Callithrix jacchus: one gene and its partners. The protein of the gene in region 1 purifies or fractionates together with the protein of each later gene. This does not show direct contact. Links are inferred from orthologs where the notes say so. Each region holds a gene or a part of one and is shown in the gene's direction. Other genes may lie near its edges.

Evidence for each region.
Region 2: the proteins of PARP1 (region 1) and POLB purify together in Homo sapiens (affinity purification with mass spectrometry; 4 studies listed by BioGRID and IntAct, counting the BioPlex papers as one, with this or other methods). This does not show direct contact. The link is inferred for Callithrix jacchus from reciprocal best matches to the Homo sapiens genes PARP1 and POLB.
Region 3: the proteins of PARP1 (region 1) and TCF7L2 purify together in Homo sapiens (affinity purification with mass spectrometry; 3 studies listed by BioGRID and IntAct, with this or other methods). This does not show direct contact. The link is inferred for Callithrix jacchus from reciprocal best matches to the Homo sapiens genes PARP1 and TCF7L2.
Region 4: the proteins of PARP1 (region 1) and XRCC1 purify together in Homo sapiens (affinity purification with western blotting; 9 studies listed by BioGRID and IntAct, with this or other methods). This does not show direct contact. The link is inferred for Callithrix jacchus from reciprocal best matches to the Homo sapiens genes PARP1 and XRCC1.
Region 5: the proteins of PARP1 (region 1) and H2AX purify together in Homo sapiens (affinity purification with mass spectrometry; 9 studies listed by BioGRID and IntAct, counting the BioPlex papers as one, with this or other methods). This does not show direct contact. The link is inferred for Callithrix jacchus from reciprocal best matches to the Homo sapiens genes PARP1 and H2AX.
Region 6: the proteins of PARP1 (region 1) and RNF146 purify together in Homo sapiens (affinity purification with mass spectrometry; 4 studies listed by BioGRID and IntAct, counting the BioPlex papers as one, with this or other methods). This does not show direct contact. The link is inferred for Callithrix jacchus from reciprocal best matches to the Homo sapiens genes PARP1 and RNF146.
Region 7: the proteins of PARP1 (region 1) and CTCF purify together in Homo sapiens (affinity purification with mass spectrometry; 6 studies listed by BioGRID and IntAct, with this or other methods). This does not show direct contact. The link is inferred for Callithrix jacchus from reciprocal best matches to the Homo sapiens genes PARP1 and CTCF.

What each region holds. Positions count from the first base shown.
Region 1 is NC_133520.1:22,886,382-22,890,266, forward strand, and holds the end of PARP1 (poly [ADP-ribose] polymerase 1), read left to right. Parts: intron 1-318; coding exon 319-446; intron 447-1,207; coding exon 1,208-1,269; intron 1,270-2,375; coding exon 2,376-2,490; intron 2,491-2,858; coding exon 2,859-2,940; 3' UTR 2,941-3,385; downstream 3,386-3,885. UniProt on the Homo sapiens protein: Poly-ADP-ribosyltransferase that mediates poly-ADP-ribosylation of proteins and plays a key role in DNA repair.
Region 2 is NC_133514.1:44,073,577-44,077,554, reverse strand, and holds the start of POLB (DNA polymerase beta), read left to right. Parts: upstream 1-1,178; 5' UTR 1,179-1,339; coding exon 1,340-1,400; intron 1,401-1,721; exon of another isoform or gene 1,722-1,722; coding exon 1,723-1,780; exon of another isoform or gene 1,781-1,808; coding exon of another isoform or gene 1,809-1,909; intron 1,910-3,978.
Region 3 is NC_133513.1:105,892,385-105,896,502, forward strand, and holds the start of TCF7L2 (transcription factor 7-like 2), read left to right. Parts: upstream 1-1,318; 5' UTR 1,319-1,831; coding exon 1,832-2,020; intron 2,021-2,282; coding exon 2,283-2,349; intron 2,350-2,552; coding exon 2,553-2,677; intron 2,678-4,118. UniProt on the Homo sapiens protein: Participates in the Wnt signaling pathway and modulates MYC expression by binding to its promoter in a sequence-specific manner. Acts as a repressor in the absence of CTNNB1, and as activator in its presence.
Region 4 is NC_133523.1:38,039,787-38,043,286, reverse strand, and holds part of XRCC1 (DNA repair protein XRCC1), read left to right. Parts: intron 1-255; coding exon 256-372; intron 373-3,500. UniProt on the Homo sapiens protein: Scaffold protein involved in DNA single-strand break repair by mediating the assembly of DNA break repair protein complexes. Negatively regulates ADP-ribosyltransferase activity of PARP1 during base-excision repair in order to prevent excessive PARP1 activity.
Region 5 is NC_133511.1:18,753,534-18,757,055, reverse strand, and holds H2AX (histone H2AX), read left to right. Parts: upstream 1-1,433; 5' UTR 1,434-1,509; coding exon 1,510-1,941; 3' UTR 1,942-3,022; downstream 3,023-3,522. UniProt on the Homo sapiens protein: Variant histone H2A which replaces conventional H2A in a subset of nucleosomes. Nucleosomes wrap and compact DNA into chromatin, limiting DNA accessibility to the cellular machineries which require DNA as a template.
Region 6 is NC_133505.1:133,838,748-133,842,901, forward strand, and holds the start of RNF146 (E3 ubiquitin-protein ligase RNF146), read left to right. Parts: upstream 1-1,354; 5' UTR 1,355-1,586; intron 1,587-4,154. UniProt on the Homo sapiens protein: E3 ubiquitin-protein ligase that specifically binds poly-ADP-ribosylated (PARsylated) proteins and mediates their ubiquitination and subsequent degradation. May regulate many important biological processes, such as cell survival and DNA damage response.
Region 7 is NC_133521.1:25,145,733-25,148,188, forward strand, and holds part of CTCF (transcriptional repressor CTCF), read left to right. Parts: intron 1-3; coding exon 4-165; intron 166-2,456.

The sequences.
Region 1 (3,885 bases):
AGTTTAAGTAACATTGATGAGCTCATTCCATCCTCACAGCAGCTCCATGAGATTATGTTCCCCATTTGAGAAAAGAGTCAAGTAGAGTCCAGAGAAGTGATGTAACTTCTTGCTCCTTGGCACCTGGCAGAGCTAGGATCTGAGCAGCCTGGCTTGTGGGCTAAACCTTTGGTATTTCCTTACCACGGGCATTGTGAGAATTAGAAGTGATGGATTGCAGCACTTAGCTGGGCTCCTGGCTCTAGCTGGTACTCAGAGAACAGCTGTTCCTAATTTTCCATCAGAAGATTCTCAACTATCCCTTTTCCAACCTTCCAGACAGGCTACATGTTTGGTAAAGGGATCTATTTCGCTGACATGGTCTCCAAGAGTGCTAACTACTGCCATACGTCTCAGGGAGACCCAATAGGCTTAATCCTGTTGGGAGAAGTTGCCCTTGGAAACATGTGAGTAAACCTGGCTCTGGAACGGGTGGCATTTCATGGGGACAGATGGAGTGGGCTAGGCAGAACTCCCCTTGGCTGGGAGAGTGGAAATTCCCCACTACAGTTACTGGGCCCACCAATCAGGATGCTTTGCTTGTAAGTAGCAGAATCCAATTCAAGTTAAGGGAACAAGGGAGATACAAGGATACCTCACAAAATGCAAGAACAGAATGCAACCAGTCCTCCGGAGCCGGCAGTGTCTTCTCTCCATGGACTGGGAAGCAGAGAGATTGAGTTGCACAAAGGACGATCCCCCATGGCTTCCTCCTCCACTCACCAATGTTTCAGTTTTCTTAGACCAACCCAAATGGAACTAGAATCTTAATCCCATTTCTAGATTCTCCACAGAGAAAGATCGATTAGTCCAGCTTCATTTGGACATCCTGTGAACTATAACCAAAAGCACAGGGTCATGTAAAAGGCCAGGGGTTTGGGGACTGTGGAGTGTGAACAGAAACCCAGAGCTGCCGACCACTGCTCCAAATAGGGCCTTTCCTTGAAAACAGCCCCATAGCAGTGATCGCTGGGCACAAACTTCAGCCACAACTGCAGCCTTGGGTTCTGGAGGAGTTCCAGAAACTCGAGAGGGAGCTGAGCAGTTAAGATGGTCTGGGTTTTGTGGGTTTTTAACTCGTCTCCATATCTCACCTTGTTCTAATCAAACTGTTGGTTTTGAGAGCCCAGTGTGAAGGCCTCTTCTGAGACTGTCCACTCTTAAATAGGTATGAACTGAAGCACGCTTCACACATCAGCAAGTTACCCAAGGGCAAGCACAGTGTCAAAGGTAAAGTGTTTCCGAAGCTGCTGCTACAGCCCCAGGCACCCTGAACAGTACAGAAGCGGTGTCTTGCTGTCCTGAGAATGCTGCCTTGTGGCTGGCTGTCAAACAGCTGGAGATTTCATTTTATCTTTTGGGGCATGTGTGTGTATGTGTGTTGTTGTTGTTTAGGTGGTGGAATATGCTGCAGCTGACCATGATTGAAGGTTCATTTTACTTATTTATTTTTTTTAAATGGGCAAGATATACAGCAAGCAGTTCATTTTTAAAAACAGTTCACTCCACCATGGCATGTGTATACCTATGTAACAGTCCTACACAAGCTGCATGTGTACCCCAGAACTTAAAAGTATAATAATTTAAAACACACAGTTCACTCTCTGTGGCTGCAGCTAGTATCACAAGTGCCACAGGAGCGGGCACCGGTAACCAAGTACATGGGTTTGGGCTTTAACCTGACTTGCAGCTACCACAGTGAGGGACCTCTTGTGACATAGTAGTGCCTGGAGCATCTTGGATTGCTAGAATTTGCAGCATATGATTTAGAACCTTCCACAGCCCGGTTGAAGTGGCTGCTTTGGAATTCTGTTGAGCAGAAATGTGACCCTATAGGGTATCGCTGCTCTCATTAAACTCAGTGAAGGTTGATGCCCTGGGAACCTTGATTTATTGCCTTAGTTTTATATCTGAAGGAGAAAGATATGTCTTTAAAATGAGCACATGAGGCTGGGTGCAGTGGCTCACACCTGTAATCTCAAGTTACCTTGGGAGGCTGAGGTGGGTAGATCACCTGAGGTCAGAAGTTCAAGATCATCCTGGCCAACATGGTGAAACCCTATCTCTACTAAAATACAAAAAATTAGCTGGGTGTGATGGCACATGCCTGTAATCCCGGCTACTCAGGAGGCTGAGGCAGAAGAATGCTTGAACCCTGGAGGCGGAGGTTGCAGTGAGCTGAGATTGCACCATTGCCTGGGCAACAGAGCAAGACTCCATCTCAAAAAGGAAAAAAAGAAAAGCAAATGGACTCACATTAAATAGAGCTCATCTCCCTGGAACCTTTGCCACCTCTGTTCTCACAGTTAATGTCATTTGTGCCTTCTGTTTTGCAGGTTTGGGCAAAACTACCCCTGACCCTTCAGCTAGTATTACTCTGGACGGTGTGGAGGTTCCTCTTGGGACTGGGATTTCATCTGGTGTAAATGACACCTGTCTACTATATAACGAGTATCCTTTCTTGAGTATGCTGTGTGAGCACAAAGGAATGTTCTGGAGCTACAGAGTCACTTACATGCTGTCAGATTACCCGGGACAGACAAGGATTAGAGGCTGTTCTGTAGATGTGTCCCATGGTGACTGTTTCCTTTTAGTGGTCTCTCCCTGTGCATAGCCTGGCTTACAGGGTATGAGCCTTCCCTCAGTTTCCAGAGTATGATCTCTTCTCCTCAGTCTGCCTGAAGGGCACCAACCCAGCCCCATGAAGAAGCCTTAAAGTAACTTTCAGGGTGGCACTGGGCATCCTGCCAGCCCGGGGAAGATAAGGCCCATGTATTCTCTCTGTGTGGCCGTTAGCTCCTTAACAAGATTCCCCTCAGGTACATTGTCTATGACATTGCTCAGGTAAATCTGAAGTATCTGCTGAAACTGAAATTCAATTTTAAGACCTCCCTGTGGTAATTGGGAGAGGTGGCCGAGTCACACACGGTGACTCTGGTATGAATTCAGCCCAAGCGCTTCTGCACCAACTCACCTGGCCGGCTAAGTTGCTGATGGGTAGTACCTGTACTAAACCTCCTCAGAAGGGATTTTACAGAAACGCGTTAAAAGGTTTTCTCTAACTTTTCAAGTCCCTTGTTTTGTGTTGTGTTTGTGGGGAGGGCTTGTTTTTGTTTTTTCTTGCCAGATAGATAAAACTGACATAGAGAAAAGGCTGGAGAGATTCCGTTCGCATAGACTAGTCCTGTGGAGATAAATCACGCTCCATTAGAACGTCTGCCTTACTGGTTTCCCCAGGGAAGGAAAAATATGTTTCCACCCTTTTTTCGTGTTCATCTTTAGTTTTGATTTTGGAAAGATGTTAAGCATTTATTTTTAGTTAAAAATAAAAACTAATTTCACACTATTTAGATTTTCTTTTTTATGTTGCACTTACTGTCCCCTTGTTAGTTGTTTTGTTTGCCTCTGTGGTGAGGGCTGTGGGCAGACCAAAGGAAGGAACGCTAACAGTTTCTCATGCTTCGAAACTGAAAGAGCTTTCCTTCTCTAGGAATACTTGAACAGGGAAGCTCTTGAAATGCGTAGTATTAAAAGTTGTATTTGAAATTGTTGACTTTCTCATGGGCACTTTTATCTTCCAAATTAAAACTCTACCACCGGTATACTAATCCAAGGGCTAATAGTAATACTCAATTAAAAATGCCTTCTCTATTTGTGTACTTTGTGTCTGGTCTCATTCTGACTACAGATACAGTTCATCTTCACAGTGCAAGGTCCCAAGAGACTTTGGGGGGCTTGTTTCTACCCAGAACTGTGAAACCCCAGAAGATGCCAGGCAGCAAACTGCATTGCTCAATGGGAATGCCCCACCTAAGGGGCAGAAAACCAAGCACCAGGCACAGGATC
Region 2 (3,978 bases), on another chromosome or scaffold:
GGAGGCTTCCTGTTCTCTGCAGGGTTCATGCCGGGCTCCGACAGCGCCCTAGTCGGAGGCTGCACTGCAGTGTGGACTGCCCGGTATCCTTAGAGAAAGTTTTGACAGTAAGTGTGAAGTCATCGTCGTCTCTGACCACATATAAAACGCGCCATGCATTTGGTCGCTATTACAGAGCACATGTATGTGCAGGAAGCCGCACCACCAGCGCAAGTATTTCAGAATCAAGATCGTACTCCTGTTTCCCCTTCTAGGGAAAGGATTCTAGAGAAACACTGGGAAAACAGATGTAATTGTGATATAGCTAACTTAAGTTGGAACCTGTATGCTGCCATCTTATAAAATACAAAAATGTTTCCATTCTCCTCAAGGACTGCTAACCTTGGTTTCTGTAAATTGCTAGATCATTTGCAGGATGCAAAGAGAGGTAAAGCTGCATACCTTCTCTTATCTGCCAGAATTGCTGGCCTTTGTTTCCCAGAGTAAGCACCCCCAGATCATTCCATCCTGGCGCCAACCAACTGAAAATCTATGGATCCCACCCCTACCCAGACGATGTGTAAATGAATGCTAATCTTAGCATCTGTGAACCCTTAAATAACAATCAGAATGTCAAATAGTCCCCTGGCCCTCGAAAGGTCCGGAACCCCCTCACCCTCCTCTCCGCCCAGAAGGTGATTTGAATCCACTGGCCCTCGGAATTTCTGAAGCCCCTCACCCTCGTCTTAGCCTGGGAGGTGATTGATAGCTTTCATTCCCATCTCCACCCCAACTCCCAAGGTGGTTTTGCGGGTATGAAAAGGTCTTGTCTCTCTCCTTTCGGGGCCACGGGTTGGAGAGACGTGAGTCCTCCGTGGTCGCCGGCAATAAACCCTGTAATTTGGCATACTTTTGTTCTGGTGTTGACTTTCTATGCTGAGTTCGATATAACATAATCTCTTAGGTCAAAACTCCAGGTCTTCTCATAGGAAGGCCCCTGAGCTGTCATTCTGAGGCGCCTATTTCCCCCGCCCCGCATCCACATCCACGAGTCCAGGAGTCCACTAACTCCCCGGGGTCCCTCTCGTCTTCCGCCGCGGACGCACCTCTCTAGCTCCGCCACACCCGCCTGGCCCGGCCCCGCCCCTCCCCGCCCAGGACGCGTGACGTCACCATAGGCGCCGCGCGCCGCGCCCCCTGTCAGGGGCAGCCATTGTTCCGCAGGTTGTGCCGGTAGCGCAGGTCGCGCCGGAGCTGGGTTGTTCCTGCACCCCTCCCCAAGTCTGGTACCTCCGTCAAGCTGGGAGAGGGCTTCAATCCCTGGTTCTGAACACTCTGGGGTTCTCGGGTTCAGGCCGTTATGAGCAAACGGAAGGCGCCGCAGGAGACTCTCAACGCGGGAATCACCGACATGCTCACGGGTTAGCACCGGGCCGGGCCCTGCTGGCTTTCTTTTTTCCTTTTAACCCCTTCCCCTCCCTTCCCTCTCTCCCACCCCTACAGTCCAGTGGGTGGAGTCGACCCCTAGCAGCGGGTAGTCCGTGGGGATCTTTCTCCGGCGCTCCTGGATAGTTGTCAGTCCTGCTGGGGACACCTGGGCCATCGCTTGGACTGCTTTTGGTCTGGCCCTTGTAGGAAACAGGTAGTCACTGTCTCTTGGAGGCTGCCACGTCCCTTTCCAGAAAACATTTCTTGTTTGTTATTCGTGGTTCTTGTTCACCGAGCCTCTTGTTGCTTTTTCAGAACTCGCAAACTTTGAGAAGAACGTGAGCCAAGCTATCCACAAGTACAATGCTTACAGGTGGGACAGTGCAGCATTCTCGGGTAGCATGCGTTCTGGGATGGCCTGTTTAGAGTGGCAGTTAACAGGACTGAGGACCCAGTGGATACTTGGTCCATCTACAAGAGCGGGGGAAAAGCAAGAACCGAGGCTGGTACCTTACTCAGTATTCGTTGAAGAGTGCGGGCAGTTCTTTATAGGATCAATTCAGATAAGTTCCCAGTTCTGATTGTAGATAGGTATAGCCTGATATGTATTTTTCTCATCATCAAACATGAATTACTAGAAATGCAGTGTAATTTTAACCGTATTGAAACACAGCAGATGAAGTCCATACTATGAAATATATGTGGTTCAAGGAATTACATTTTTTCTTCTGGTTGGTCTGAAGCTGATCCTGTAGCATCCTCATCTAACCTTCATGGGATCCTGTCCTTATCCATCTCACCAGGGGCCTTAACCTATTCATTCTTTCCATAAAAGGCTCCTTAGCCTTTATTTATTTATTTATTTATTTATGAGACAGGGTCTCCCTGTGGCATGATCATGGCTCACTGCAGCTTCAACCTTCCAGGCTCAAGCGATTTTCCCACCTCATCCTCCTGAGAGTCTGGGACTATAGGCACATGCCACCACACCCAGCTAATTTTTTTTTTCATTTTTTTTTTTTGTAGAGATGGGGTTTTGCTATGTTGCCCAGGGTGGTCTTCAACTCCTGAGCTCAAGTGGTGTACCTGCCTCAGCCTCCCAAAGTGCTGGGATTCTAGGCATCAGCCGTGCCAGCCCTCCTTAGCATATAAATATGTCCAAGTCCTTCAGCTCTCAAAACCAAAACCAAAACAATCTTAACTTCCCTCTAGTTAGCACCTTATCTCTTTTCTCACTTTACAGTTAATCTTCTTGAAAAATCTTCATTTCTTGCCTGGACTTCTTAATCCCTAGTCATTTAGTCATTAAGAAGTCCCAGTTCTTGCCTGGACCTACCCTTGCTCTGGAAATCCTCTCACCTACATCTCATCTTACTGGACTCTCAGTGGCATTCACCCCTAGCTCATTCTGTGGAAGTCTCTTGATTTCTGTAATGGCATTCTTTCATCTTTTCTTCTGTCTTACTTTTCAATGTTGGTATAGGTTGAGCATCCCTAATCTGAAAATTAGAAATGCTGTAAAATCTGGATGATTGCCAACATGATGACGCAAGTGGAAAATTCCACCTCCGATCTCATGTAATAGGTGGCAGTCAAAACTTTGTTTCATGCACAAAATTGTTAAAACGATTATATAAACTTACTTTCAGGGTATGTGTATAAAGTGTATGAGAAATATAAATGAATTTTGTGTTTAGACTTGGGTCTCATCCCTAAGATATCTTATTATGTATATGCAAATATTCCTTTTCTTTCCTTTTTTTTTTGAAGATGGAGTCTTGCTCTGTCGCCAGGCTGGTGAGCAGTGGTGCAATCTTGGCTCACTGCAACTTCCGCCTGCCGGGTTCAAGTAGTTCTCTTGCCTGACCCTCCCTGGTAGCTGCTCAGCTAATTTTTTTGTATTTTTAGCAGAGACAGTTTCACCATGCTGGCCAGGTTGGTCTCAAACTCCTGACCTCGTGATCTGCTTGCCTCGGCCTCCCAAAGTTCTGGGATTACAAGCATGAGCCACCATGCCCAGTCGTAAATATTCTAAAACCTGAAAAAAATTCAAAATCTGAAACAGTGCTGGTCCCAGGCATTTCAGATAAGGGATAGTCAACTTGTGGTTCCAAGAAGTCTGTCTGCCCTTAGCCCTCTTTTCTGTAGTTTCCCTGGCAATCTTGCCATTCTTGACTTTGAAATGCTACTAATGTAGTGACTCCAAATCTGTGTCTCACTGGACTTTTCTCCACATTTTTAGCCCTATATTGTCTTTATCCCAAGTCAGCTCCCTTCTTCCATTCCCACTCCCCGCAGTTCAGAGCTGATTGTGCTCCCTCCTTTCCTTACTTCTGTGATTTCCTATGTAAAGTAAAATAATTGTATTATCATCCATACATTTGCTGATTGAAAAATCATAGCAATATTCAACTTTGTTTTCTATTTGGATCACAGCAGGCCTCCGAAAGGAGGTGTTTAGTTTTGAAGAAGCTCATCGGGGGTAAGTGAGAGGGCCATTAGTGTAGACAAATAAAATGTGCGAAGGCATTGAAACATGAAGGGTATAACTTTTTTTTTTTTTTTTGACGG
Region 3 (4,118 bases), on another chromosome or scaffold:
CCTCTTACCGAACATCTACAAAAATGAATCTTCTTGCTGTATCACCCAGCAACACTGTGTTTTGGGAGCCGGGCCTTTCCTCTTTAACATAATCCCACTCCCCATTTTGTAGCAAATCAGTCTGCTCCTCCTCTAGTAACTAAAAGTCAACAAATACCTGCCTCAAGCCCCAGGTTTCCCATCTTCTCCCGGAGGTCTCCTAGCATTGGTTTGGTTAGCAATTTCCTGCCACAGCCACCTACATCTTGATTATTTGGTCAGTCTTTCGGGGATTTCATTTCAGAGCCCCTTCGAAAAAAACTGCAGCCCAACTGATCCCAGGGGCCCGGTGAACTTTCAGTTTTATTTTTCCCTGGCGGTGTTAACGCCCAAACTTTTCACCTCCGAAGTTTTCAAAAAGGACTTTGACTCTAGCTCATATCCTACCAGCTCCAACGTCAGTTAAAAAAAAAAAAACAAAAACAAAAAACCACTAAAACACCACTCTACATGTAAAAGAATCCTATATTTTTTCCTTAAGGATACTTTTAATGTCTCTGACATTTAGTATTTGTTTTTTGGATAAAAAGTCATTTTGGCATATTTATCCTAGTGGGACTTAACAATTCATGAAATGATTCACTACTAATAAACAAAAAAGGGAGGAGGGGGCCTCATGGGTTAATAGTTTCTTTCATTGTAGATGACCAGGAACTTTGACCAGCCCCTTCACTTCTCCAAGCTCTCTGAAAGTGGAGGGTTGATTTTTTCTTTTGACCACCTCTGTCGCATGCCGCCCAAGGGTGGCTGATTCTACTGTTGAATTAACCACCAAGCATCCCCCCCAAACCCCGCCCCCAGCCACCACTTTCTCACAATTCTACCCTTCCTTTTCCCCTCTCTTAAGACTTATTTCTAATATTACTAAACTGCACTTTTTCTGGGCCTCTCCCCATCCCCGCCCCTCAAGTGGGCTTTCCTTCCGCCTTCCTCGGCTCGGATTCCTGACTTGGTCGCCACCCCCTTCTCCTCCTCTCCCACCCCGCATTGTCTTTCTGAAACCGCCCCCTCCCGGAGCGAGTCCCTGCACCCTCGCCCAGAATCCAGGGCTCGCACACACTCCGCGCAGGCCGCTCCCCCTGCACACTCCTCCCTCCGTCTCCCCCCTGCTTCCCCGCCCCTCTCCTCCTCCTCCTTTCCCTCCTCCCTCTCCCGGCGCCCGAAAGGATCATTGTTAGCCGCCCCCGCCCCGCCCACCCGGGCTGTTTATTTATGCACACGTCACCGGGCAGGCCCCGCCCTCCGGCATCTCATTAAGGCAGTGTGTTCCTCTCGCCCTGTCAATAATCTCCGCTCCCAGACTACTCCGTTCCTCCGGATTTCGATCCCCCTTTTTCTATCTGTCAATCAGCGCCGCCTTTGAACTGAAAAGCTCTCAGTCTAACTTCAACTCACTCAAATCCGAGCGGCACGAGCACCTCCTGTATCTTCGGCTTCCCCCCCCTTTGCTCTTTATATCTGACTTCTTGTTGTTGTTGGTGTTTTTTTTTTAACCCCCCTTTTTTATTTATTATTTTTTCGCACATTGATCGGATCCTTGGGAACGAGAGAAAAAAGAAACCCAAACTCACGCGTGCAGAAGATCTCCCCCCCCTTCCCCTCCCCTCCTCCCTCTTTTCCCCTCCCCAGGAGAAAAAGACCCCCAAGCAGAAAAAAAAGTTCACCTTGGACTCGTCTTTTTCTTGCAATTTTTTTTGGGGGGGGCAAAACTTTTTGGGGGTGTTTTTTTTTTTTTTTTGGTTTTCTTCCTCCTTCATTTTTCTTCCAAAATTGCTGCTGGTGGGTGAAAAAAATGCCGCAGCTGAACGGCGGTGGAGGGGATGACCTAGGCGCCAACGACGAACTGATTTCCTTCAAAGACGAGGGCGAACAGGAGGAGAAGAGCTCGGAAAACTCCTCGGCAGAGAGGGATTTAGCTGATGTCAAATCGTCTCTAGTCAATGAATCAGAAACGAATCAAAACAGCTCCTCCGATTCCGAGGTAGGAAAAGCCCCTCGGGCTGGTGGGGTTTTTTATCTGTTTCCTGGGCTTGGCAAATGTTGCTGAAAGGGGAGAAATCGGGGCTAGGGGCGGCGGCGGGGCCCGGCGGGCGGCGTGTGCGTGCGGTGCCACCATTGCAAAAACTTGTAACCCTGTTTTTTCTACCCCCCCACCCCGACCTCGCCGATTCTTTTTCTCCCCGTTCTCCTCCCTCTGCGTGGCGTTTGCCCCTCGCCCTCCCCACCTCCACCCCTCCGGGAAGGCGGAAAGACGGCCTCCGCCTCGCTCCGAAAGTTTCCGAGATAAATCCCGAGAAAGTTTGGAAGAAGGTGAGTACGCCCCGCGCGCCCCGCAGCCGCCCCCCGGGCCGGCCGCCCGCCCCGCGCGCCCGGGCCCCGCGCCCCGCTCGGTCCGGCCCCGCGCCGGTCCGGCCGGGGCGCCCGGCCCCTCGGGGCACTTTCTAAAAAGTTTCTCCTCGCTCTCTCCCGCTCCGCGCGCCCGCCGCCGTCCTCTCGCCGCCCCGCCATGTTAGCGGCCAAGAGGCAAGATGGAGGGCTCTTTAAGGGGCCACCGTATCCCGGCTACCCCTTCATCATGATCCCCGACCTGACGAGCCCCTACCTCCCCAACGGATCGCTCTCGCCCACCGCCCGAACCGTAAGTGCCTCCGCGCCCGGCCCCCGCCCGCTGCCCGCCCGCCCGCGCCGCCCGCCGGGCCCTGCATGCGGCCCCTGCCCTGCCCCCTCCCCGCCTCCCCCTCCCCGCCTCCTCCCCTCCCTCCCTCCCCTCCCCCGCTCGCGGCCCAGGCGGCCCGAAACTCTCCAAACTTTTCTGCCTTTTGTGGACTGGATTTGTTTGCACTTCGCCACGTTCTTGCTTTCAGTTTGCTGCCTCGTGATGTTGGGGAGACCTCTCTTTCCAAGCAGGGCTTTGTTGTGGGGGGGATCCGAAGAACTTTTCTTTTGCGCTCTGGTTCCCCCTCCCCTTTTGGTGGCGGTGGTTGTTTCTTCACCCTGGGAAGATGACTGTGTGGCTCTTTCTTTGCTCTCTCTCCCTCTCTCTCCTTCTCTTCCTTCCCTCTTCTGTGGTGTCTTGGGCTTTCCCCGATTAACCCCTTGGCTGCCGCTGCGGGCCCTGAGTGACTGTGCTGCGCCCGACGCGCGGGCTAGAGAGTGGGTTTCCTCCAGGCGTTGGACTTGAGAACTGGCGAGCGCGCAGAGCCGGGGGCCTTGGAGAGGCGCCTTGGCTTTCTCTTACGGGCGGCTGTGTATTTAGCTTTCTAGTGGCGATCGCGGACTCTCGGCCCTCCTTCCTCCTTCCCCTGGAAGGTCACACTTCCCAGATTGGTCCCACCGCAAACTTGGGGGCTCTGAGGAGCCCTTTTCTTTGGCAACCTGCGGGGCCGCGGGCGCCCTGGGTGCTGTGGCGGGCTCGGCTGCCCCGTACGCTGGCTGCGGGCTCTCCTGGGCCGCGCGGGGCAGCGGGGCAGAGCGGGGCGGGGATGCCCCTGCGGCCCGGGTTCTGGGTTTGTGTGCAGCCGGATGGCCTCCTCGGAGCAGACTTGTATATTTCTAGGGAATTTTGGCGCCTTGGGTTGTATGGCGGGGTCTGCGCTCGCCAGCTTCCGTGTAGGCCCTTCGTGGGGCCCCCCCGGGGGGGGGGCAGAGACCAGGGTGTGCGGGCTCAAGGAGGTGCAGGGGCCGAGGGAGGCCGGGGCGCCTCTCCTTCCAGGGAGTGGGTCGCCGATCGCCGGCCAGCCAACTTTGGGGGCCCCAGGGCAGCGCGGGGTGCCGGGCTCCGGGGGCGCTTCCTGCAGCGTCGGTCCCGCGCCCAACCCTGACATTTGTTAAGACGGCTCATCCCCTCCCCCACCGGCCTCTGCCCCCTGCCCTCACCCTGAACCCCCTCCTCCTCATCCCTCCCTCTCTCTTCTAAGAAGCCTGGATTACGAATCTCTGGACGCAAGACGCGTTTGCGCCTGGCTTCCCGGGATTGTCATTTTACACCCTCTCCGGTTTGGTCCCCATACCCCTTATTTACACACACGACTTTTGTTTTTTCTTTTTCGGTAACTTTAGTTAGCAATTTGAGATAATGC
Region 4 (3,500 bases), on another chromosome or scaffold:
GGTGCCTTCTCTTTGTGTCCGCTGTGTTACATGCTTTTTCTCTCTCTCTCTCTCTGGCTCACTCACTCTCTTTCTGCTTGCACTCTGTAGCTTTGTCTTTTGCTCTCTGATTTTTTTATCTCTCCCTCGATATCCAACCTCTTTCTGTTTCTCCCACCTCTATCTCATGATCTCTCTCTCTGTCTCCTTGTCTCTCTTTCCCCTTTGCCCCTCAGATCACACCTAACTGACATCCTCACTTCTGCCCCCCACCAGCTGTGCCTTTGCGAACACCCCCAAGTACAGCCAGGTCCTAGGCCTCGGAGGCCGCATTGTGCGTAAGGAGTGGGTGCTGGACTGTCACCGCATGCGTCGGCGGCTGCCCTCCCGGAGGTGAGGCCACATACACACTAACCCTGCTTTTTATCCTGTGCTGGGCAATGTCAGGGATCTGGAGAGGAGTCAGACTAGGGCCTGCCAGCAGAGAGCACAGGTGGTCCCAGCCCAGAGTCAGCAGACTCCTGAGAGGAATGTGGCAGGGGCTGGGGGACTCCAGATGAGGGAAGGAGGACCTGCCTGGGAGGTCACAGAGGGCTCTGTGAAGCCTGCTTATCAGAAAAGGCTGGAGGAGTAGTTTGTGCAAAGACTCTGGGGTGGGAGAACAAGTGCTGGGGTCCACATTCATTCATTCAAAGTGAGTCCTGGCACAGTGGCTCACACCTGTAATCCCAGCACTCTGGGAGGCTGAGGTGGACGGATCACTTGAGGGCAGGAGTTTAAGACCAGCCTGGCCAAGATGGTGAAGCCCTGTCTTTACTAAACATACAAAAATTAGCTGGGTGTGGTGGCACATGCCAGCTGCTCAGAAGGCTGAGGCAGGAGAATTGCTTGAACCCGGGAGCCAAAATCATGCTATTGCCTCCAGCCTGGGCAACAGAGTGAGACTCTGTCTCAACCAAAAAAACCAAAGGAGTCCTGGAAGCCTTTGCTTGGTGCCAGGCTGGACTGTGCAGGGCTGAGGATCCAGTTATCAAGCCCTGCCCTTGAAGGCTTCTCACTATGATGAGGGATCAGAATTTTAACAGTGCAATGGAAGCCCCAAGGGGTGGCCCGCAGAGAGCAAGGGGTGTTCAAGGTCCACAAGAAGTTTTTCAAGCTGAACAGAGGCAGAGAACATGCTGGGCAGAGGAGACAAGGTCAGGGTAGCCTGTCGTCTGCCTGGAGGAGTTGCAGGTGGGGCTGAGCTTACTGGGGGCAAGAAGTGGCAGGAAAAATGGAACCAGGGGCAGTAGGAACTACAGAGGTCTTTGGACTGAGCAAAGGCAGTGTGGTGGATTGGAAGGGAAACTGGATTGTCCTTCATGGCCTGAGTGTGTTCAGAAGTTAGCTGTGCCTAGTGTGTTTGAAAAATGAGGAGATCGATCCAAGATGGCCGACCACTAACAGCTCAGGATTGTAGCTCCCAGTGAAAGCCCAGAGAACGAGACGACGCCACACTTTTAGACGAATTTTCGTCACTCACCGATCAGCCGATTCCCAGTGGAGGAGCCCCACGGGTCGCCAGCACGACTCTTGTGGCCGCCGCAGCGGTTTTGCCGGCGTCTCGGCGCAGCAGCTCTTCATGCAGAGCCAACGGGACTGCTTCCCCTACTGACCGGAGTTTGGAGCTCCGGGAACTCAGAGCCGCTTGTTGCGGACTCAAGAGGGAAGCCAGACCAGAGATTCCCGGGCAGAAGAGCACCATCAGTCTCACCGCTGCTATTTAGGCTGCCACAGTGGGTTGCTCGGATCCCAGCACTGGGAATCAATAAGTCGGACGTCGACTCAGAAAACTAATTAGAAAGGCGGTTCATCTACAATGAAGGGAAAAAAACAGCCTAAGAAGGCCGAGTATACTCAAAATCAGAACCCATCAGCAACAGAACAAGCCCTGATGGAAAAGGACTCATCAGCAGCAGAACAAGCCCTGATGGAAAAGGACTCATCAGTAACGGAACAAGCCCTGATGGAAAAGGACTGTGTTCCATTATCTGAAGTAGGCTTTAAAAGGTGGATGATAAGAAACTTCTGGGAGTTAAAGGAACTTGTTCTAACCCAATGTAAAGAAACTAAGAACTTGGAAAAAAGGTTAGATGAAATGTTGAAAAGAATAGACAATATAGAGAGGAATACAAATGAACTTATGGAGTTGAAAAATACAACACGAGAACTTAGTGAAACATGTATAAGCTTAAACAGCCGAATGGATCAAGCAGAAGAAAGGGTATCAGAGGTCGAAGATCAACTTAATGAAACAACACAACAAGACAAGAATAGAGAAAAAAGGATAAAAAGGAATGAGCAAAGTCTCCAAGCAATATGGGACTATGTGAAAAGACCTAATATACGCTTGATTGGTATACCTGAACGTGACGGAGAGAATGAATTCAAGCTGGAAAATACTCTCCAGGACATTATCCAGGAAAATTTTCCTAATTTAGCAAAGCAGGACACTGTTCAACCCCAGGCAATACAGAGAACACCACAAAGATATTCCTCAAGAAGACCAACCCCAAGGCACATAATTGTTAGATTCACCAAGATCGAAACGAAGGAGAAAATATTAAGGGCAGCCAGAGAGAAAGATCAAGTTACCCATAAAGGTAAGCCTATTAGGCTTACAGCAGATCTCTCAACAGAAACCCTACAAGCTAGAAGACAGTGGGGTCCAATATTCAATATACTTAATCAACAGAACTTTCAGCCCAGAATTTCATATCCAGCCAATTTAAGCTTTACATTTGAAGGAAAAATAAAATTTTTTAGGAACAAGCAAGTACTCAGAGATTTTATTACCACCAGGCCTGCTTTACAAGAACTTCTAAAAGAAGCACTATACACAGAAAGGAACAACCAGTATGACCCTTTCTAAAAATACACCAAAAAGTAAAGAGCATTAACATAAAGAAGAATTTTTATCAACAAAAGGACAAAATAGCCAGTTAATATCAAACGGCAGCAACCCTAAATTTAAATCAACCAAATCTCCCAATCAAAAGATACAGACAAAATCTAACGGTATATCCAAAGATATACATAGACTCAAAATAAAGGGTTGGAAAGAAAAAAACGTACCAACCAAATGGAGAGCAAAAATAAATAAATAAGCAGGAGTTGCAATTTTTACATTTGACAAAATAGATTTCAAAGCTACAAGGATACAAGGATAAAAGGATTAATGTAATAATAAGAGATCTTAACACCCAGATACATAAGACCCATAATGAGATTTAGATTCAACGAGACAGAAAATTGATAACGATATCCGGGACTGGAACTAAGATCCAGAACAAATAAACTCAATAGGGCTCTCCATTTTAAACACACAAAATATACATTATCCACAAAATCTAACGATATATCTAAAGATATACAAAGACTCAAAACAAGGGGATGGAAAAAAGCTCACCAACCAAATGGAGAGCAAAAATAAATAAATAAAAAGCAGGAGTTGCAATTCTCACACTTAATAAAATAGATTT
Region 5 (3,522 bases), on another chromosome or scaffold:
CTGTAGGTATATTTCCTATATGGGCATTTTTGGGTAGATTGAGAGGGTTGGTGAGAGTACTTCCACCAACAGGATGCCTATCTCTCTCCCTTGCATAATCTGATACGGTGGTTCTGATAGCAGTAAGCAGCAGAGCCAGAAACAGATCTGAGGTTGACTCCACTTCAGTGCTCTTCCTATTAATTAGCCATGGAGGAGGGTTCAAATAGTGGCCTCCTCTCTCCTTTCTTCTAGCAAGAAATGAACAGAACTGAGACCAAACAGAACATGTTGAATAAATATTGAAATCCTGGCTAGGCATGGTGGCTCACGCCTGTAATCCCAGCACTTTGGGAGGCTGAGGCAGATGGATCACGACGTCAGGAGTTTGAGACCAGCCTGGCCAATATGGTGAAACCCTGTCTCTACGAAAAATACAAAAATTAGCCCAATGTGGGGGTGTGTGCCTGCAGTCCCAACTACTCTGGAGGCTGAGGCAGGAGAATTGCTTGAACCTGGGAGGCAGATGTTACAGTGAGCCAAGATGTGCCACTGACTCCAGCCTGGGCAACAGAGCCAGACTCTGTCTCAAAAACAAAATAAAAGAACTCCTGATACTTCAGGAGGGCCAAAAGATTAAAGTTACCCTGTTTCGTGGAATGGGATCACACTTTCAGAGTCACTGGGTGTGGTGGCTCACACCTGTAATCCCAACACTAGCAGGCAGAGGCAAGAGGATTGCTTAAGCCCCAATTCAAGACAGCCTGGGCAACAAAACGAGACTCTGTCTCTACAAAAATAAAATAATTAGCCAAGTATGGTGGGGCGCGATTGGAGTACCAGCTACTAGGGAGGTTGACCAGGGAAGATCCCTTGAGCCCAGGAGTTCGAGGCTGCAGTGAGCCGAGATCACACCACTGCCCTCCCGCCTGGGTGACAGAGCGAGACCCGGTCTATTTAAAAAAAAAGAAAGAAAGAAAAGAACGTTAAGGGTCTAATTTCCCTTTCTCCCTTTGCCAGGTAGGAGAAGGGTATAGAGAGTGACCTGGCCTGGAAAGGGAGGCAGCGGTAGCTGTAGTATTGACCCCTGTCCTTTAAAATTCCTATTCCAGCACAATTTCCCAGAAGTTTTCTAGGTGGCCTCAGACTCCACCCCTTCTGTCTTCAGCTTCTGGTTTCCGACTGTACCGTTTAAATCTCGCGCGCTTTACAATGATTGGCTACGTTCGCGGGTGGTTGGCCGTCTGCCCGCTACCCCTCCTTTTCGCCTTTTCTCCCCGGGCAAAAGGTTTTCAAATTTAACCAATCGACGGGCGCGCTACCTCAGCAGAGGCGCGACACCCAAGGGTTAATCGCAACCAATCGGAGGAGGGTACTGGAGAAAAGGGCCAATCAGGAGGGTGCGGAGGTGTGTCCTGGGGGCCTATAAAAACGGCCTCTCGGCGCGCGCGCGCGACAGCAGTTGGACTGCGGAGAGTGTTTGTCCTGGTGTCTCTGAGCCGTTGAGCTTCGCCGGTCTACCTCGCTAGCATGTCGGGCCGCGGCAAGACTGGCGGCAAGGCCCGCGCCAAAGCCAAGTCGCGCTCGTCGCGCGCCGGCCTCCAGTTCCCCGTGGGCCGCGTACACCGGCTGCTGCGGAAGGGCCACTACGCCGAGCGCGTTGGCGCCGGCGCTCCAGTGTACCTGGCGGCAGTGCTGGAGTACCTCACCGCTGAGATCCTGGAGCTGGCGGGCAATGCGGCCCGCGACAACAAGAAGACGCGGATCATCCCCCGCCACCTGCAGCTGGCCATTCGCAACGACGAGGAGCTCAACAAACTGCTGGGCGGCGTAACTATCGCCCAGGGAGGCGTTCTGCCCAACATCCAGGCCGTGCTGCTGCCCAAGAAGACCAGCGCCACCGTGGGGCCGAAGGCGCCCTCAGGCGGCAAGAAGGCCACCCAGGCCTCCCAGGAGTACTAAGAGGGCCCGCGTCGCGGCCGGCCGCCAGGCCTCCCCATGCCACCACAAAGGCCCTTTTAAGGGCCACCACCGCCCTCACGGAAAGAGCTGAGCCACTTCAGACTGCGGAGCAAGCGGGCCGCGGCTCCCGCCTCCCTGCCCCTCCCCTCGCCCACCGCCCGTCCTGGAGTCCCCGTCCGCCCCCACTCGTGGCCCGCGCCCCCTGCCGCGTCGGCCTCGGGCCCTGCCACGTCCGCCGGCCGCTCTCCGGCAGGGCTCGAGCGGTCCGGAAACGGCTAGGGCGCTCTGCGGGGACCGCCGTGGCGCGGAGGACCCGAGCCTGCCGGGGGGAGACCGGCGACGCCGCACCTGCCCGCCTCGGCGCTCGTGACTCAGCCGCCCGATCCTGAGTCGCCGAGGGGCTGCGGGGAGGCCGCAGCACCTTCTGGAAGACTTGGCCTTCCGCTCTGACGCAGGGCCGAGGTGGGCAGCCCAGGCCCAGAGGCCGGCGGCCCTGAAGGTGAGTCCGTCCCTCGGCAGCTGCAGCCGGGGCGTCTGGTCCTCCCCCGTCGTGGTGCTTAGCCCAGGACTTTGAGACGTGGCCGCTGGCCTGGAGGCTTTGGTGGGAGAGATGGGCTCGCTGATATCCGTCTGGCGCCCCCTCTGCGGCCAGGACTCAGGCCTTTCACGTCAGCTCTCCATCTTCATTCATAGGTCTGCGCTGGGGCCGGGACGAAACACCTGGTAACAGGCACATCTTCCTCCCGAGTGACTGCCTCCTAGGAGGACATTTGGGGGAGGGTGGAGGCCTGCAGTTTGGCTTCACGGCTGGCTATGTGGACAGCGAGAGTCGTTTTCGCGGAAGCCAACTGGCAGCCAGGCCTGTCGGGCCTCCCCACGCTGCCCCATGTCCCTTCCAGCAAACTCGACTCGGCAATCCAAGCACCTAGATACCAGCACAAGTCGGTTAATCCCTGTCTGGACTGAGCCTCTGTTGGCTTTCGAACTGGAATTTTGCAGCTAACCCTTCCAACACTAGAACCTGAGGCATTGGGGAGTTTTAGATGGACTAATTTTATTAAAGGATTGTTTCTTTTTTAAATGGAGCGTTTGTATTCATTCTGCAAGAGGGTTGTAGAATTAGTGACTTTGTACACCTTCCCGAGACAGTGGGGGTGGGAAGGGTATGCAATATAAATAGGCTCTACTGTTATAGAGAAGGGACAAACCATAGCAATTTAAGATTATGGCTGTTTCTCAGTGTTTCTGGGAGACAATTTATTCTGTGTGAAATGAAAACTATTTAGGCAGAAGCAGAAAGGATGTTCCAGGAGAACTTTGGGCAAAAGTCCCAGCCTCAGAAGTAAGGATGAAAGGGCTTTGTTCATATCTTCCTGCCCACCCCACGAAAGAAAAACAACAAAAAGCACCTTCAGAGCGGTTTATTAGTAGAACTGGTTACATTCAAAGGCTGTGGCTTGGATTTCTCTAAAGAGATGAAGCCCTCACATACTGAGGAGGCAAGGCAGTCATCAGGGGCTCATAGTGAGGCAAATCCCTGGAAGGCTTGGACCCTGCTGTTCAGTCTCCTGGGGTAATTGC
Region 6 (4,154 bases), on another chromosome or scaffold:
CTGTCTGTGCCTGGATTCAAATCTCAGCTGTGTGCTTCTTTCTGTAAAATGAGAATAACAATAGTGCCTACCTCATAGTTTATTAGGAGAATTAAATGGGTATATATAAATAAAGCACAACACCTGGCACATAGCTAATTAATAATAGCATTATTTCTTCAAGTTGGAATCTTTGGGTACATTATCAAATTTTAGCTATTCTGTGTTCATGGGCTGTGTAGGATAGAGGGATAAAACTGAGTGGCTAATAAGAAGATGAAGATAGAAAACTAAGCTTAAAGGACATACACTTCAATATTTCTATATGTACAGAACTTGTAAGAAAAGCAGTTTTGCATACATGAGCAAGCATCACTGAACTAGATGGCACCTTTCAAGAGACTGGTTTACATATTGAGATATGAGAATGAGAACCCTGAAATAAACTGATTCAGAGGAATAACAGAAAACATATAAATTTCTATACATATAAGGTCGCTGAAAACTTCCCATCCTGAATGAAACATTTAATGAAATCCCAAAACGCAACACTATTGCAAATAAGACACTGTCATAAAATTTTGAAATACATACGCTTTTAAAGATAAAAGGCCTGCTCTTCCACCCTCTTCATTTTCCTACAAATTAGGAAAATTTAATCAGTTCTGAAAAAGGAAATGTACATGCGAAAATGGTGAATACTGCTAGAGTTCTGATGTTTTAAACCACAGGCTTGCGATCAAAATAACCTCTTTAATTTTAGATTCTCATGCAGATTAATTTCTTTCTCCAGTTTTTCAAGCACTATTCTGTTTTTTTTTTTTAAAAAAAGGAGGGGTTCAAAGGGAAAGTAATATCCATGCTTTTCCCGATTAAATTGCTCAACCATTAAAAAGGTGAATAAATTAGAAAGCCCTAGAATACTCTACCCCCTCGGTCCGCCCCCCACCACCCTTTTTTATTTCTTGAAAGGGAAAAGCAGTTCTTTTGCCAGGGGATCTTCAAGCCGAAACTCGGCTAGGCACCCCAGGGCTTCTCCCGGATCGCAAAACTGGATTTCTGCGCAGCACCACCTGCAGTTCCTACACGCGTTTTACTTCCTCCACCCCAAATCTGCTTGCTGGAGCTGCATTCTTTCAGAGCCTCTGGCCCCTAATACAAACAAAGTACACTCTAAAGCAGCCAGAAGGATCCAAGCAGCGAAGTCGCGGATCCCCACAGGCAGGAGAGTGCAGGCAGGCAGCGGCGCGAAACCGGGACGGAACGAAGAGACGCCGGAGCGAGCCCGCGGGTGCGCGGCGCGGCTTCCGCCCCGCGCGGCCCCGCCCCCGCGACGCGCCGGGTGGTCACGTGAGGGCCGCGCGCGTCCCCGGCCGCTGCGGGCTCAGAGGCCGGAGAGAAAAAGACTGCGAGGTGTCCGCTGCTGTGGCCAGAGAGGTGGCAGTCGGAGCGAGGCCCTGTCGGGGGAGCAGGGAGAACTCCGGCCACTCCAGGACCCTCACTGGGGGAGAGGAAGCATAGCTCGCGGTGTCACCTTCAGCCGCGACGTACTCCGGGTCGGCCTTGCGCTCGGGGCCTGAGAGGGGCGGCGGCGGGGTCAGGGGCCGGTACGTAGATGGACGCCCTTGGGCTGGCGCGGCCGCGGCTGCCCGCGCAGAGGCGGGATGGGACAGCTCAGCCTTTTCCGCCACCCCAGCCTTGGCTGCGGTCGCAGGCTAGACGGCCGTGACAGCCCCTGTGCTGCCCGAGGGCGCCGCAGACCCTGCCCTGGGTGACGGCCTGAGCTGGTCTCGGTCGGGGTGCGAGGGGCGGAGCAGCGGCCATTACTGCGCAGCCTCTTCCGCCGGAGCCCGCGTCGGTGCCTCGGGTAGCAGGCGGGTCCCTCTCCTCCCCCTGGGCCGTGGTGTCAGGCCTCTACGCGGGGACCTTCTGGCCTCGAGGTGTAGGGGCGGCGATGGTTTTTTGGCAGTAGCCTGCTCCCTGTTTCCCGTGTGGGGTCAGACACTTTGGGCCTTGGGTCAGATCGAAGCCAGGGCGTACAGTCTGCATTTTGTCTTTTCCCGGAGTGTCTCTGGCTGCTGCTTTCTCTGCTCTTTCTCTTCCTCCTTTTTCTCCTCCTGCTCAGTGTCTCGGTCTTGCCTAATACGAAGAGAGCATTCCTGCACCTTGTCCTAGTGAAGCCCCGCATTGCATATTCTTAGCTGTTTTGACGGCTGTTAAAGCATCGGAACAATTAAGAGGTCTCAGAATGTCCCTTGAGCCTCCAGACCCTCTGTACATCTTAAAAGCCGAGGCTGTTGCTTTGTTCTGGTTGTTGGGTGGGGAGTTCTCTTCCTACCCTCCATCCAGTCTGAAGGAGTGCGGGTCTTCCATTGTTGTCGCTATTTATTTTTCAAAGGCTTCTAAAGAATGTAAAATTATTTTTAAGAATGTGGAGAGGGAACCGTCCTCTCCACAGGACTGTAAGTTTACACACACATCCTGGCAACAAGAATCTTTTCTCGTTCATCATTTTGGTATACGTTTTAATTTAAGTGCCGTTTTAGTGAGCACTTATTTCTCAAGTTTTGAACATTTTAAGTGATATTTTTGTAATATTGAAACAATGTACAACTGAGGAGAGAAGAAAGCCAAAAGATGATGGGGAACGCTTTGTTCTTTGTATGATTGACATTTCAGGTGCTGGGCACATCACCCCCACCCCGTGTGTGTACTTTTCAAATGGGATGTGAACGTATAATATTGGCATTCAATGCAGTATATAATTATAAATCTGGAAGACTTAGGACATTTTAGTCAGTGAATCTATATTTAGACTTTTAAGACATGGCACGTAAGGACACATGAAGAAAATATCCCACACAAATAACAGGATTTGTGATTGTGCCTTTGCTGTTTTATGACTAGCAAATACTGTTTTTGTGGACTGTCTTGGTGCCCTAAAAACACATGAAAATAGGTCAAGTAAATCTCATTTTAAAGAGAAAACTGGAAGAGTGAATGCCACTCTAAAAATAGATTTTGGATGTGTTTGTTTTGGTGCCTTGTATATTTTAAAGTGGAGGATGTTGTTCAGCCCAATCTTTCATTTACAATTTGTGTCTCAAATGGGCCAGTGTATGCTGTGGGCAGAATGGAAATACATTTAGTTTTTCTTTTCTTCGATGGTTGTTCAGAACTTGGTAGAATTATAATCATCAGGAAAACTTTGTCCAAATAGCTGGTCTTTAGACAAGAGGAAGAAAAAACAATTAACTGTTTTGTAAAGGCGATGTCCACTTGCAAAGTGTTTTGTTTCAGTCTCCACCAACTTACATTGTCAGAAGAAAGGAACAGACATTTTTTTTTAAAAGGATCCAAAACGATATTTTGAGTTAGAAGAAAAGGATATTAAATTTTCTGTTTTCACAATATCTATCTGTTTAAAGAATATTATTTTATGTGCTAGCCATATACTAGCATGAAACGTCTAACAGCACTGTCAGTTGGGAATTCGAATGTGTATTTTTCTTCGGTGTTAGTAATAAAAGGTACTGAGCCTTTTCCATTCTCTTACCTGGTTCCCTTGTGCCTGAGGAGTCTCAATTTGTGAAAACAACAGGCTGGATCGGGAACAATCTTTTTGGGTATAGAAACCAATTTATTTAACACTTGGCTACAACCACCTGTGCTTACTTATGAACTATCTTTAGTTTTCATGGCTTATTACCTTTTGGGTTAATTTAAATCCAAAATGGTTGTTAACTGACTGCTAATTAAAGCATTTAGAACGTAAAATATAAAGTAGGACGAGATAACAAAACACTGGGGGTTATGACTTGACCAAAGTCACACAGATAATTTGCCAAAGAGCCTTTCTTATTTATGAAATGGTTGCTGGCTAAGAAACATCTGTGTTTGATATTATTAAAAGATTTGTTCACTTTTATATCTCATGTTTTGAAATAAAATGCAAAGCCCACTTTTTTGTTGTTGTTTTGAGAAAAATTGAAGGGTTTAAAGCGCTAGTATAAAGATTGTGAGGTCAATAAGTAGATTGCCACATAGTAACGTTTTTAAAGGGAAATATTCTTTAAAGTATCAGACCCCATTTAGTTGCAGTGAGTTTTGTTGAAGTTTTCGAGTATGACCTATGCTTTTTCTTAGCTCATTTTTAGCAGGTGATGATGAGGGCT
Region 7 (2,456 bases), on another chromosome or scaffold:
AAGAAAATGCTGAACCAGATCTGGATGACAATGAGGATGAGGAGGAACCTACAGTAGAAATTGAACCCGAGCCAGAGCCTCAGCCCGTGACGCCAGCCCCACCACCTGCCAAGAAGCGGAGAGGACGACCCCCTGGCAGAACCAACCAGCCCAAACAGAACCAGCGTAAGTTGTTCATCTCTGCTCTGGAGGCTGGCGTCTTCTAGCATGTGGGGGAGCCAGATGGGTCCTTGTGCTTTGGGGAGGTGGGAACTAAGCCATGAGAACAAGTTAAGGGCATGTTGAGAACAAACTCTCAGGAAATGGTTTTTTAGGAGTATTTACTGAGGAACATCTGAGGAAGTCTTTAGAGGCCTGTTACATTTCAAGGAGAAAAAGTCCAGATAGAAGGATACTTGTGTTCTACAAGATGGGTACTGCTAATGTGGGCGGGTTTTGAAAAACAAGCAGTCACAGTCAGCTGGGAGAATGGATGCAGTAAAGAATATAGAAGAGCCAAATTGTAAATGGTGGAGAGGGAAAGCAGTTTCTGTGCTGAGATTGCCCCTTTTAAAATTCACAGTAGAGCACAGTGGCTCACACCTGTAATCCGAGCACTTTGTTGGGGCCAAGGTGGGAAGATCACCTGAGGTCAGGAGTTCCATACAAGCCTGGCCAACAAGGTGAAACCCCATCTCTGCTAAAAATACAAAAATTAGTCAGGTGTAGTGGTGGGCGCCTGTAATCCTAGCTACTCGGGAGGCTGAGGCAAGAGAAATCGCTTGAATCCAGGAGGCGGAGGTTGCAGTGAGCTGAGTTGGCAACAGAGTGACTCCATCTCAAAAAAAAAAAGGTCCTTTGGAGTCAAGTGCTGGCCTCCTGGATTATGAGAGGACAGAGGTGGTGATCCCTCCACCTCATACACAGCAGGCACTGGAGACGCAGGTCTCTACTCCTCTACTTGTGTGTTTCTCTGCATCTCCTGAGAGCTGACAGGGTTTTTTTTTTTTTAAACAAATGTAGGTTTAATCTATTTTTTAAGATACTCTCCCTGAGTCCCATATGTCAGTGCCTGGTCACAGAAAAGGAGGTTAACAGCAGTTCCTGGAACCAAGCATCTCATTTCACCTCTATACAGTGGAGTGAACAAACTGGTGGAAGGGCCCTCGTTGTGGAGAGCTGCCAGATAAAAAATGTCACCTTGTGGCTGGGCAAGGTGGCTTACACCTGTAATCTCCGCAGTTTGGGAGGCCAAGGTGGGCAGATCATGAGGTCAAGAGATCGAGACCATCCTGGCCAACATGGTGAAACCCCATCTCTACTACAAATACAAAATTTAGCCAGGCATGATGGCATGGTGCCTGTAGTCTCAGCTACTCAGGAGGCTGAGACAGGAGAATTGCTTGAACCCAGGAGGCAGAGGTTGCAGTGAGCCGAGATCATGCCACTACACTACAGCCTGGGCAACAGAGCAAGACTGTCTCAAAAAAAAAAAAAGTCACCTTGCTGTAGGAGGGGCCTCCCACATTATACACTCTAGTAGTCTTAGGTTCACCCTGCACTTTTTACTTGCCCCTCTCACTATTGTAAAGCCTGAATTTATGACATAAAGGAATACTAAGTAAGGATTTTATCTTTTTATTTATTTTATTTTTTGTAAAGATCGGGTTTCACCATGTTGGCCAGGGTGGTCTCAAACTCCTGACCTCAGGTGATCTGCCCATCTCAGCCTCCCAGAATGCTGGCATTATAGGCAGGATGCACCATACCTGGCTCTGTAAGGACTTTAATGTGTGATTTGAGGGGCATATGAAGATGAAGGTCAGCATTTTGTTCCTTTTTTTTTTTGAGACGGAGTTTCGCTCTTGTTACCCAGGCTGGAGTGCAATGGCGCGATCTCGGCTCACCGCAACCTCCGCCTCCTGGGTTCAGGCAATTCTCCTGCCTCAGCCTCCCGTGTAGCTGGGATTACAGGCGCATGCCACCATGCCCAGCTAATTTTTTGTATTTTTTTTAGTAGAGATGGGGTTTCACCATGTTGACCAGGATGGTCTCGATCTCTTGACCTTGTGATCCACCCGCCTCGGCCTCCCAAAGAGCTAGGATTACAGGCTTGAGCCACCGCGCCCAGCCAGCATTTTGTTCCTTGATAGTTTCTAGAGTATTGGGGGTTTATTTTATGTATGACCATGTTTGAGATCTTTAAGGCTTTTTTTTTTTTTTTTTTTTTTTTTGAGAAGGAGTCTTGCTCTGTTGCCCAGGCTAGAGTGCAATGGCACTATCTCAGCTCACTGCAACCTCTACCTCCTGGGTTCAAGCTATTCTCCTGCCTCAGCCTCCCAAGAAGCTAGGATTACAGGTTCCTGCCACTATGCTCAGATAATTTTTGTATTTTTAGTAGAGACGGGGTTTCACCATGTTGGTCTTGACCTCAGGTGATCTGCCTGCCTCAGTCTTTCAAAGTGCTGGGATTACAG